Daphnia pulex: one gene and its partner. The protein of the gene in region 2 interacts with the protein of the main gene of each other region in a biochemical or structural test. Links are inferred from orthologs where the notes say so. Each region holds a gene or a part of one and is shown on either strand. Other genes may lie near its edges. The genes, in order: barrier-to-autointegration factor-like and serine/threonine-protein kinase VRK1-like.

Region 1 (3,157 bases), on a different chromosome or scaffold from region 2:
TAAACCAAGGAGGTTGCAACCCTTACAATGGCTCCGCGAATGATTCTGTGGGGATATCCTAGATCAGATCCTATTCAGTGACTCAGAACAACTTTCAAGGCAAATTGATTAATGAAGAAAAAAAAAAGCGTTTGTCTCGTGTAATATTGTTAGCTCCCTTTCTCTGGTTGGCTTCAATGTGGCGTTTGGAAATCTTATTGTTTGTTTTTAAAAAATGTCAAGAGTTTGGGTTCTCGTGCATGTCTGTGAAAAATCAGTCGGGAAAAGTTTTATTCCGGAAATTACTGATAATGTTTTACACCCACCTCCTCCCACATAACAAACGTCCTTGTTGCTTGCCGTGCGTTCTTTTTAAATTTGAATCCCCTCCCGTCTTGTCCCTTTCCAACTGTAGTTATTATTACGAGACTAGGAAAAACTACTTGGTAAGTATGAATGAAAGAAGACGTTCGGTTTTTCCCTTTGGGTGCGTCGAATTGTCATCGCCTACTAATCGTTGACTGAAGAGAAGGAACAAGTGGAAGAAAAGAAGTCAAGTGAAAAATACAAAAAAAGAAATACAAGTGGATAAATGTGTGACGATATCAGTTGGGTAGATTTTGCTATTCTTGCTGCTGCAACCATGTTCTCTCAATGTAATCTACGATTCGAACAACAAAAAGTCTATTATTAGGGCCCCGACTTAGTGTGCGTGAAAGATCCCTATTCCCCACCTTCCCCTATTCCCACAAAAAAACTCAATTTCAAACATTGTCTGATTGAAAAAAAAATACACATTGAACTAATTATATTTTGATTTTTATTTAGAAGAACCACTAATGGCTGGTTTTCCAGAATATAACTTGTATGTTAATTTCATAGGGACATACATACATGCGTAATTAAAATATATACGATGCAGTGCCCTTCCACCAAGGCAGCGGCGAGCAGGTATTAAAAGTTTTAAGAGTATGCTGTGTGTGCTGGAAGTATTTACGATAGGTGGTGGTGAATTGAGACTGATAGCAGAACACCCGATCAACATCAATGGTAAAAGATTACAAAAACTCATCACACCAATCTGACAAACATTGGTGACAATCTCCTGCTTGTTTGGCGTTGGCTCCAGCTGTGTCTTTGAGCCAATCCACGAAAAGCTCTTTGTTCTTCTTTAAGACCAGGAATTGTCCCAATACAACAGATGCCTGCATATGTTAAATGGATTTTATTAAATTGAATTATATTGATTTGCTGGTATTGAGAGAGTGTAATTTATTTTTTTTTACCTTATCAAAGCCTTTCTTTTCTAAACGATCTCCTAGCACTCCTCCAATACCAGCAAGATCTGTAACAGCTTTTTCTCCCATAGGCTCAGCTACAAAGTTACGATGCTTCTGTGAGGTGGACGACATTCTGCAATTCAAAATAAAAATGTCACTCTTGGCATTGAAGAACTGACAAAGAATCACTAGCAAATCTAGTTTATAACAACATTCTTTGGAAGGCACACCAAGAATCAACACTACAATACACGATTTTTGGGGAAATTCGTAGATGTTATTCAAATGTAAAATATGAACATTTCATTCAAGCCAAGAAATGAAGAATGGTAAAACCGTTATTCTGTCTTAGGTGTGCGTTGCCCAGAAACAGGAGGACACTTTCACTAGCTTTACAAGAATAGAATTTGACAGAATGGATATCAATTGTTAATTAAAATTACCTCTGAAGAAATTGTCAAAATGACTAAATCAGGACTAAATGGAATGGACAAGGAAGAAATTGATTTCAGTTTTCTAACTCTGCGTGACGTTAGACAACGCTTGTTGGGTTGCAGCTGCAGACTCTATTCAAATTCCTTTTTAGGAAAGTCAGTAGAACATTGATGCCAAACACCTATCAAATTTATATATCCAAAAATTAAGCAAATCAAAGCTATAAAATAAATTGAATAATTATTATTCAGTATTAAAAATTGTAACTGAATTTAAATTTTTAAAAATGTACTTTTTACACTTCTAAATACTAAGCGCTGCGCACCCTAGGCCTAGTAAAGTTAAAAGAATTTGGCATCGTCAGGTCTAGGCGTGGTCTAATCTTTAAACGTCATTTGATTGGTTTAAAATACGCATTTTGAAAACGACAAAAAAAGAGATAAAAAACTTTTGCTGCTTTTGTGCAGTAAAGTGAACTTAGGTCGAGTACGTAGGCAATTCGTGATATTTCCCGGGCAGTTGTAAACCGTTTTCTACATATTGCATGTTGAAAACACGTAGGATTGGGTTGTAAGAAAGCTAAGTGATCCATCATGCATCACATTTTCAATGTAGAAGACAATATTACTTTTAACGCGTTAGTTTGGTCAGAGTTAAAGAAACATGGAATCAAAGAGACTGGTAGATGGAGGAAACCAACAAGAAACAATGTATTTATCAATATTATATTGTGACACAGATTTCTTTTATAAAAATGATTTTTCTCTAATTTTAGGATCCACAGAAGAAAACTCTGTTTTGTCAGCCATTGGAATTGCTGGAGTGTGAACAAGTTCTTATCATGGTTGAATCAGAATTAGGAAATAGCTCAGATGGATCTAAACCAGTGTGTGCTAAAGGAGATATTTTAGTACAAGTTCCCACATTTGTTGTGCAATCTTGCCAAGCAATTTTGAAGGGTGTCCATACCGAAGGCTTGTTTAGGAAAGCTGGATCTGCTTGCAGGCAGCGTGAAATAAAGCGTCAGTTGGAGAGAAAAGAAGAGTTCAAATCCAGTCATGATGTAATAGATTTGGCCAACATTTTGAAGCAGTTCCTAAGAGAGCTTCCAGATCCATTGATTCCTTATCAACTGCATGATGTTTTACTCAAGTATGTTAAGTTACTTTTATAGCACTTGTAGAACCAATCAAATAACTTATTCTTTTGTAGATGTGTTCAGATGGAAAGCTTAGAAAAAGCTTCACAAATGCTTCACTTGACATGCTTGCTTATTCCACAGCAAGCTTTGGCTACACTATGCTACTTATTGCAGGTATGAAATGTTTTCAGTGTAAACTAAACAATAGATCTTGACTAAACTATTTTATTTTTATTTCTGAGTAGTTTTTTGAAGCTGTAGCTTCTAATTCATCAAAGAATCTTATGGATGCTAGCAATATTTCTATAGTGATGGCACCAAC
Region 2 (4,433 bases):
GCGTCACACGATGAGTCATCCACCGTTACTACTATTATGTGCGAGCGCTCTGACTGAAAATCTGGAACAATGGCTTCCACACTCACACAGAGAGAGATAAGGGCTACTAGGGGGGGATTCTCTATACCCTTATCATTATTTGGGTATTATAATATCGGGTGTAGGATGGAAAAATAAATTCCGACTCGAGTTACTACACTGGCACATCACCTGATACAACATGGTTGAAACAGACGACTGTGTAGAGATGCTAATTCAATTAAGAGAGCGTGAAACCGTGTCATAGACGCTGAAGGGACGGACTCTCTAAAAGCCGTTAAGACGGATGAACATGACTCAGGAAACGGAAGCTGGAAGGGTGAGAGGGGGAAATCGATCACGTGGCCTATTGTTGAAACCTCAATAGGTGACTAATCAGCAAGTTTCTCCCCCCTAGCAGCACGAAAGTCTCTTCAGCTGTCTGTCAAATATTTATTCCCCTCCCGATTTTTTCGTCGTTGTGTCTGTGACGTCAGCTCTTTGTCGATGAGTAACGGACGCCATCGATGCGTCATCCGGAGCAAAGCAGCAGCAGCAGCGGCTCTGATTTCCCAGAGACTCTCTTGTTGCGCCGATATTCATCTGTCGATCCGCTTAACTTTCTACTTACTCTGCGAAGGTGTATTAGTTTTAATCTTTTTACCAGAGACCAGAATTTTATTTTTTCGATTGACATTTACAATTCCGGATGAGTTCAATTCCCAGGAGCCAATGAAAAATAAAAATTTATGTTTTTTTAAAAAAAATCCTTTGGGATTATATTTTAAGGTCAACATCTGGATTCGATTGATTTATGATTTGACCAGAGAGTATTAGTCATCATTTTCCACCCCTTGAATGAAAATCAACTCTCTCTCCACCACCAACAACAACCCATTGTCATCATTATAATAGACGATTTATACAAGCCTACTCTCCCCCGATACTGGGGAAAAAAGTTAATCATGATAGATAGAAGAAAAAGGCTTTTTTGTAATATTTATTAGGCGCTGCTGCATTGATTCGATTGGCCCGGCTGACGTCGGTCGTTTAAGGCCATAAATTATTGGCCGATAAGAGAAAAAACGGGAACCCACGGGGGACGTGTAGTATAAAAATAACAGGAAACTGCGTCAGCACACACACACATGCACTTTCCTGACATAAACAACACATCTGAAATGTGTTTGAGACGTTAATAGGCTTCGCCGCTATATACAGCTAGAGAGACTCGAGCGCTTCTAATTAGCATACAAATGTGTGCTGGGCTTTTTAGACGGCGCGCACGAGAGATGTCGCTCCGCCCACGTTCGTTTTCAATCAAATCGTTAATGGCCATCACCGAATTGGGTTTTCTTTTTTGATCGAAATTTAATTCGATTTGGTTGGAAAAAGAACAAACAAGGTTTTATATTATGCATGCATTATTTATTTTTAAAAATCGTTTTTGTTTGGGAAAAGAAAGCGCCACCTCGACCGTAAACGGCAATGCCGCAAGGCAAACAATTAAAATGGCGGATACCAGTTCAAAATAGACGAAAAATAACCGCCGGCCGTTATAAAGATCAACTGACGGCTCATTGTAAGTTAATCCTTACATTCTGATTATTAAGTAATTTCTCGTCAATTTCGACTGGCAATTGAGTGGTGAATGAACACTTTTCAAGTTGACAAACTGTTGTTGCTAGGTGCAAGGGAACAGACGATTGTTTTGGCCTTGTGATTTACTGACATCGAAGAATATATATACCGACTTGTGGGTGTATCAATGTCCTGGATACGTTGACGGTTTTTAATTTTCAGAGTTATTTCAACTAAAACAATGCCTCCCAAAGCTGCAGCCTCTCGGCCTGCTGCTGCCAAGAAAAAGGCTCCAATACATAAACTCCCAGACCCAATCAGGGATGGAGAAATTGTTCGTGATATCCAGAAGAGACAGTGGAGGCTCGGCAAATCCATTGGTGTCGGGGGGTTTGGAGAAATTTATGCAGGTATATTCAGTCTGTTCTGAGTTAAATGAAACATCATCTAAATCAACATTTTTTTTCTTCTTTTTCAGCGTCTGACAATATTGATAAACAAGTAAACGCAGCCGATGCACAATATGTGATCAAAATTGTAAGACAAGATTCTTCATCTATTATTCAAGATGTTTGTTTGGATTGACACTTTTGACTATTTCACAGGAACCTCATTCCAATGGTCCGTTATTTGTGGAAATGAATTTTTACATTCGGGTAGCTAAAGCAGATTTCAGTAAGTTGTCAACAACATTCTGAAGCTTTTTCGTTATCAATGAGCTATTATTTCTTTGTCATTAGTTAATGAGTGGATCACTTCTAATAAACTCAAATTCCTGGGTATGCCCCGATTCATCGGATCTGGCTCGCACGAATACAAAGGTGAAAAGTATCGTTTCATGGTCATGCAGCGATTCGGCATCGATGTCCAGAAACTCTTCGATGCCAACCAGCGTCGTTTCCCTCTCAACACGATTCTCAACTTGTCGCTGAGAATTATTGACGTATTGGAATATATCCACGCCAAACAGTACGTCCACGCCGACATTAAAGGCTCCAACTTGTTGTTGGGATTCGGCAAAGGTGGTGAGAAGCAAGTGTGGCTCGTCGATTTTGGACTTGCTTGTCGCTACACGGTCGATGGTGTCCATAAAGAGTACAAGCCGGACTTGAGGAAAGCTCATAATGGAACTATCGAGTTCACCAGTCGTGACGCTCACATTGGAGGTACATAATTTGCTTCAAAATAATTATAGTTTTTTGGTAAACATTCTTTTTTGTTTCCAGCCAATGGACGTCGTGGTGACTTTGAAATTCTTGGCTACAACATGCTTCAATGGATGTGTGGGAGACTTCCGTGGGAAAGTAATTTGACGGATCCAGAGTTTGTTGCCAGTCAAAAGAACAAGTACATGTCCAACATCCCGGCTCTCATCCAGGAATGTTTTCCAGCCAAGAACGCCCCTGGTAACTAGAAATCGATTGTGTTTTCATCTTCGTAACTTAATTTCTTTTTTTCAAAAACAAAAAACAGCCGTCATGGTGAAGTTCCTGGAAATGGTGGCGAATCTAAAGTTCGAGGAGATGCCCAACTATGACAAGTTCAGGCAATTACTTCGGCAAGGCTTGAAGGATGGCGGTTTCCCTGACGACGGGGCGCTCGTATTCCCTCATCTCAACAAAGGAGCGGGTAGCAGCAGCGTGCGTAGTTCACCCAAGAAACGCTCGGCTCCACCGCCGGTGCCAACCGATGACGAAACGGAAAACGGAAATGTCAAGCAAAAGGCCAAAACCAGTATTAAAAAGAGTCGAGAGCCTTGCTCACCCAAAGTCACCAACCGGTAATGTCAATTTAATACTTATTCATTTTTACTATGTGTATACTAATTTCATTTAGTTGTTCAACTCGTAGGACGACGAGACGGGCCAATATGTCGCCAGATTGTGATACGACAGATTCCAGCAGTCTCAGCAGTACGACATTGGCTGTAGTCTCTAAAAAGAGATCGGCTGAGAAGAAGGAGCGTTCCAAAGAATTGTCGGCTAAATTAGACACGTCGCTTAGCAATCCCACCCCGGCTATGCTGGCCATTTTGGCCCGGATGCGTAGCAAAGAGGAAACACCTTCACCGGCCCTTCCATCGAAAAGGAAACAAGCCAGGTTTGAATAATTGAAGGGTTTTCCTTTAAACAATTTTGTACTTGTACTTAAATAAACGATTCATTGATAATTTACTTTGGCATTTTAAAATTTACTAAAAAGGTTGGACAGCCGTTCGTGTAGCCCAATCGATCTCGATTCCAGCTCGATCCTGACTCCCGCCATGGAAGAAGTCATCCGCGTGAGAGAAGTGCGTAAAAGTATGGAACAGAGTGGACATTTTTTCACGCCCATCTGCAGTCCGATGACTACCACCAACCCGACTCCCATCAACCCTTTCCAGAGTCCGACTTTGACGCCACGAAACATGGACCTGTACATGACCATGGATTGTACGCCGGAAGAAGAGGAGGAGCCTCGACGGAAGAAGAGCAACGGCAGTGGCAAGGGCTTCGTGACTCCATCCTCTCCTTCTAAACGTGTTCTGAGAAATCGACTTCACGAATCTGTGATTTTGGACGATTCCACATCATCGTCCGTCAATTCCAGCACCGCTGGTGAATCGTCGTCGTCCACCACACCCGATAACAAACGCCGAGTTGTCCACAGACGTAATTGAATCCTTAAAATTTGAGTTATTCATTTAAAACGAGTTGATTATTTCTGTTTTTTTTAGACAAGTACAGAGTGGTCGACATGGCTTCTGCGTCTACGCAAACGTCACCCGGCGTTTTAAGTCTACCAACTCTTGAACGGAGGCCTTATTCGCTTAGGTCGGCTGCTCAATCTCCAGC

What was found.
Region 1: of the proteins of serine/threonine-protein kinase VRK1-like (region 2) and barrier-to-autointegration factor-like, one has a biochemical effect on the other in vitro, tested with the Caenorhabditis elegans proteins (2 studies listed by BioGRID). The link is inferred for Daphnia pulex from reciprocal best matches to the Caenorhabditis elegans genes vrk-1 and baf-1.

Annotation. Positions count from the first base shown.
Region 1 is NC_060020.1:3,950,559-3,953,715, forward strand, and holds barrier-to-autointegration factor-like, read right to left. Parts: upstream 1,857-3,157; 5' UTR 1,703-1,856; intron 1,393-1,702; 5' UTR 1,392-1,392; coding exon 1,266-1,391; intron 1,185-1,265; coding exon 1,038-1,184; 3' UTR 773-1,037; downstream 1-772. Other genes in the region: uncharacterized protein LOC124192967, read left to right, coding at 2,288-2,404, 2,470-2,846, 2,907-3,009, 3,081-3,157. UniProt on the Caenorhabditis elegans protein: DNA-binding protein which plays an essential role in nuclear envelope formation. Required for normal chromosome segregation during mitosis. Associates with the nuclear lamina via its interaction with LEM domain containing proteins emr-1 and lem-2.
Region 2 is NC_060018.1:12,622,744-12,627,176, forward strand, and holds the start of serine/threonine-protein kinase VRK1-like, read left to right. Parts: upstream 1-1,491; 5' UTR 1,492-1,600; exon of another isoform or gene 1,601-1,630; intron 1,631-1,706; 5' UTR 1,707-1,840; coding exon 1,841-2,009; intron 2,010-2,077; coding exon 2,078-2,136; intron 2,137-2,204; coding exon 2,205-2,274; intron 2,275-2,339; coding exon 2,340-2,765; intron 2,766-2,825; coding exon 2,826-3,005; intron 3,006-3,072; coding exon 3,073-3,379; intron 3,380-3,435; coding exon 3,436-3,699; intron 3,700-3,801; coding exon 3,802-4,250; intron 4,251-4,315; coding exon 4,316-4,433. UniProt on the Caenorhabditis elegans protein: Serine/threonine kinase that phosphorylates baf-1, thus regulating the association of baf-1 with chromatin and nuclear membrane proteins during nuclear envelope formation. May act through the egl-17 signaling pathway.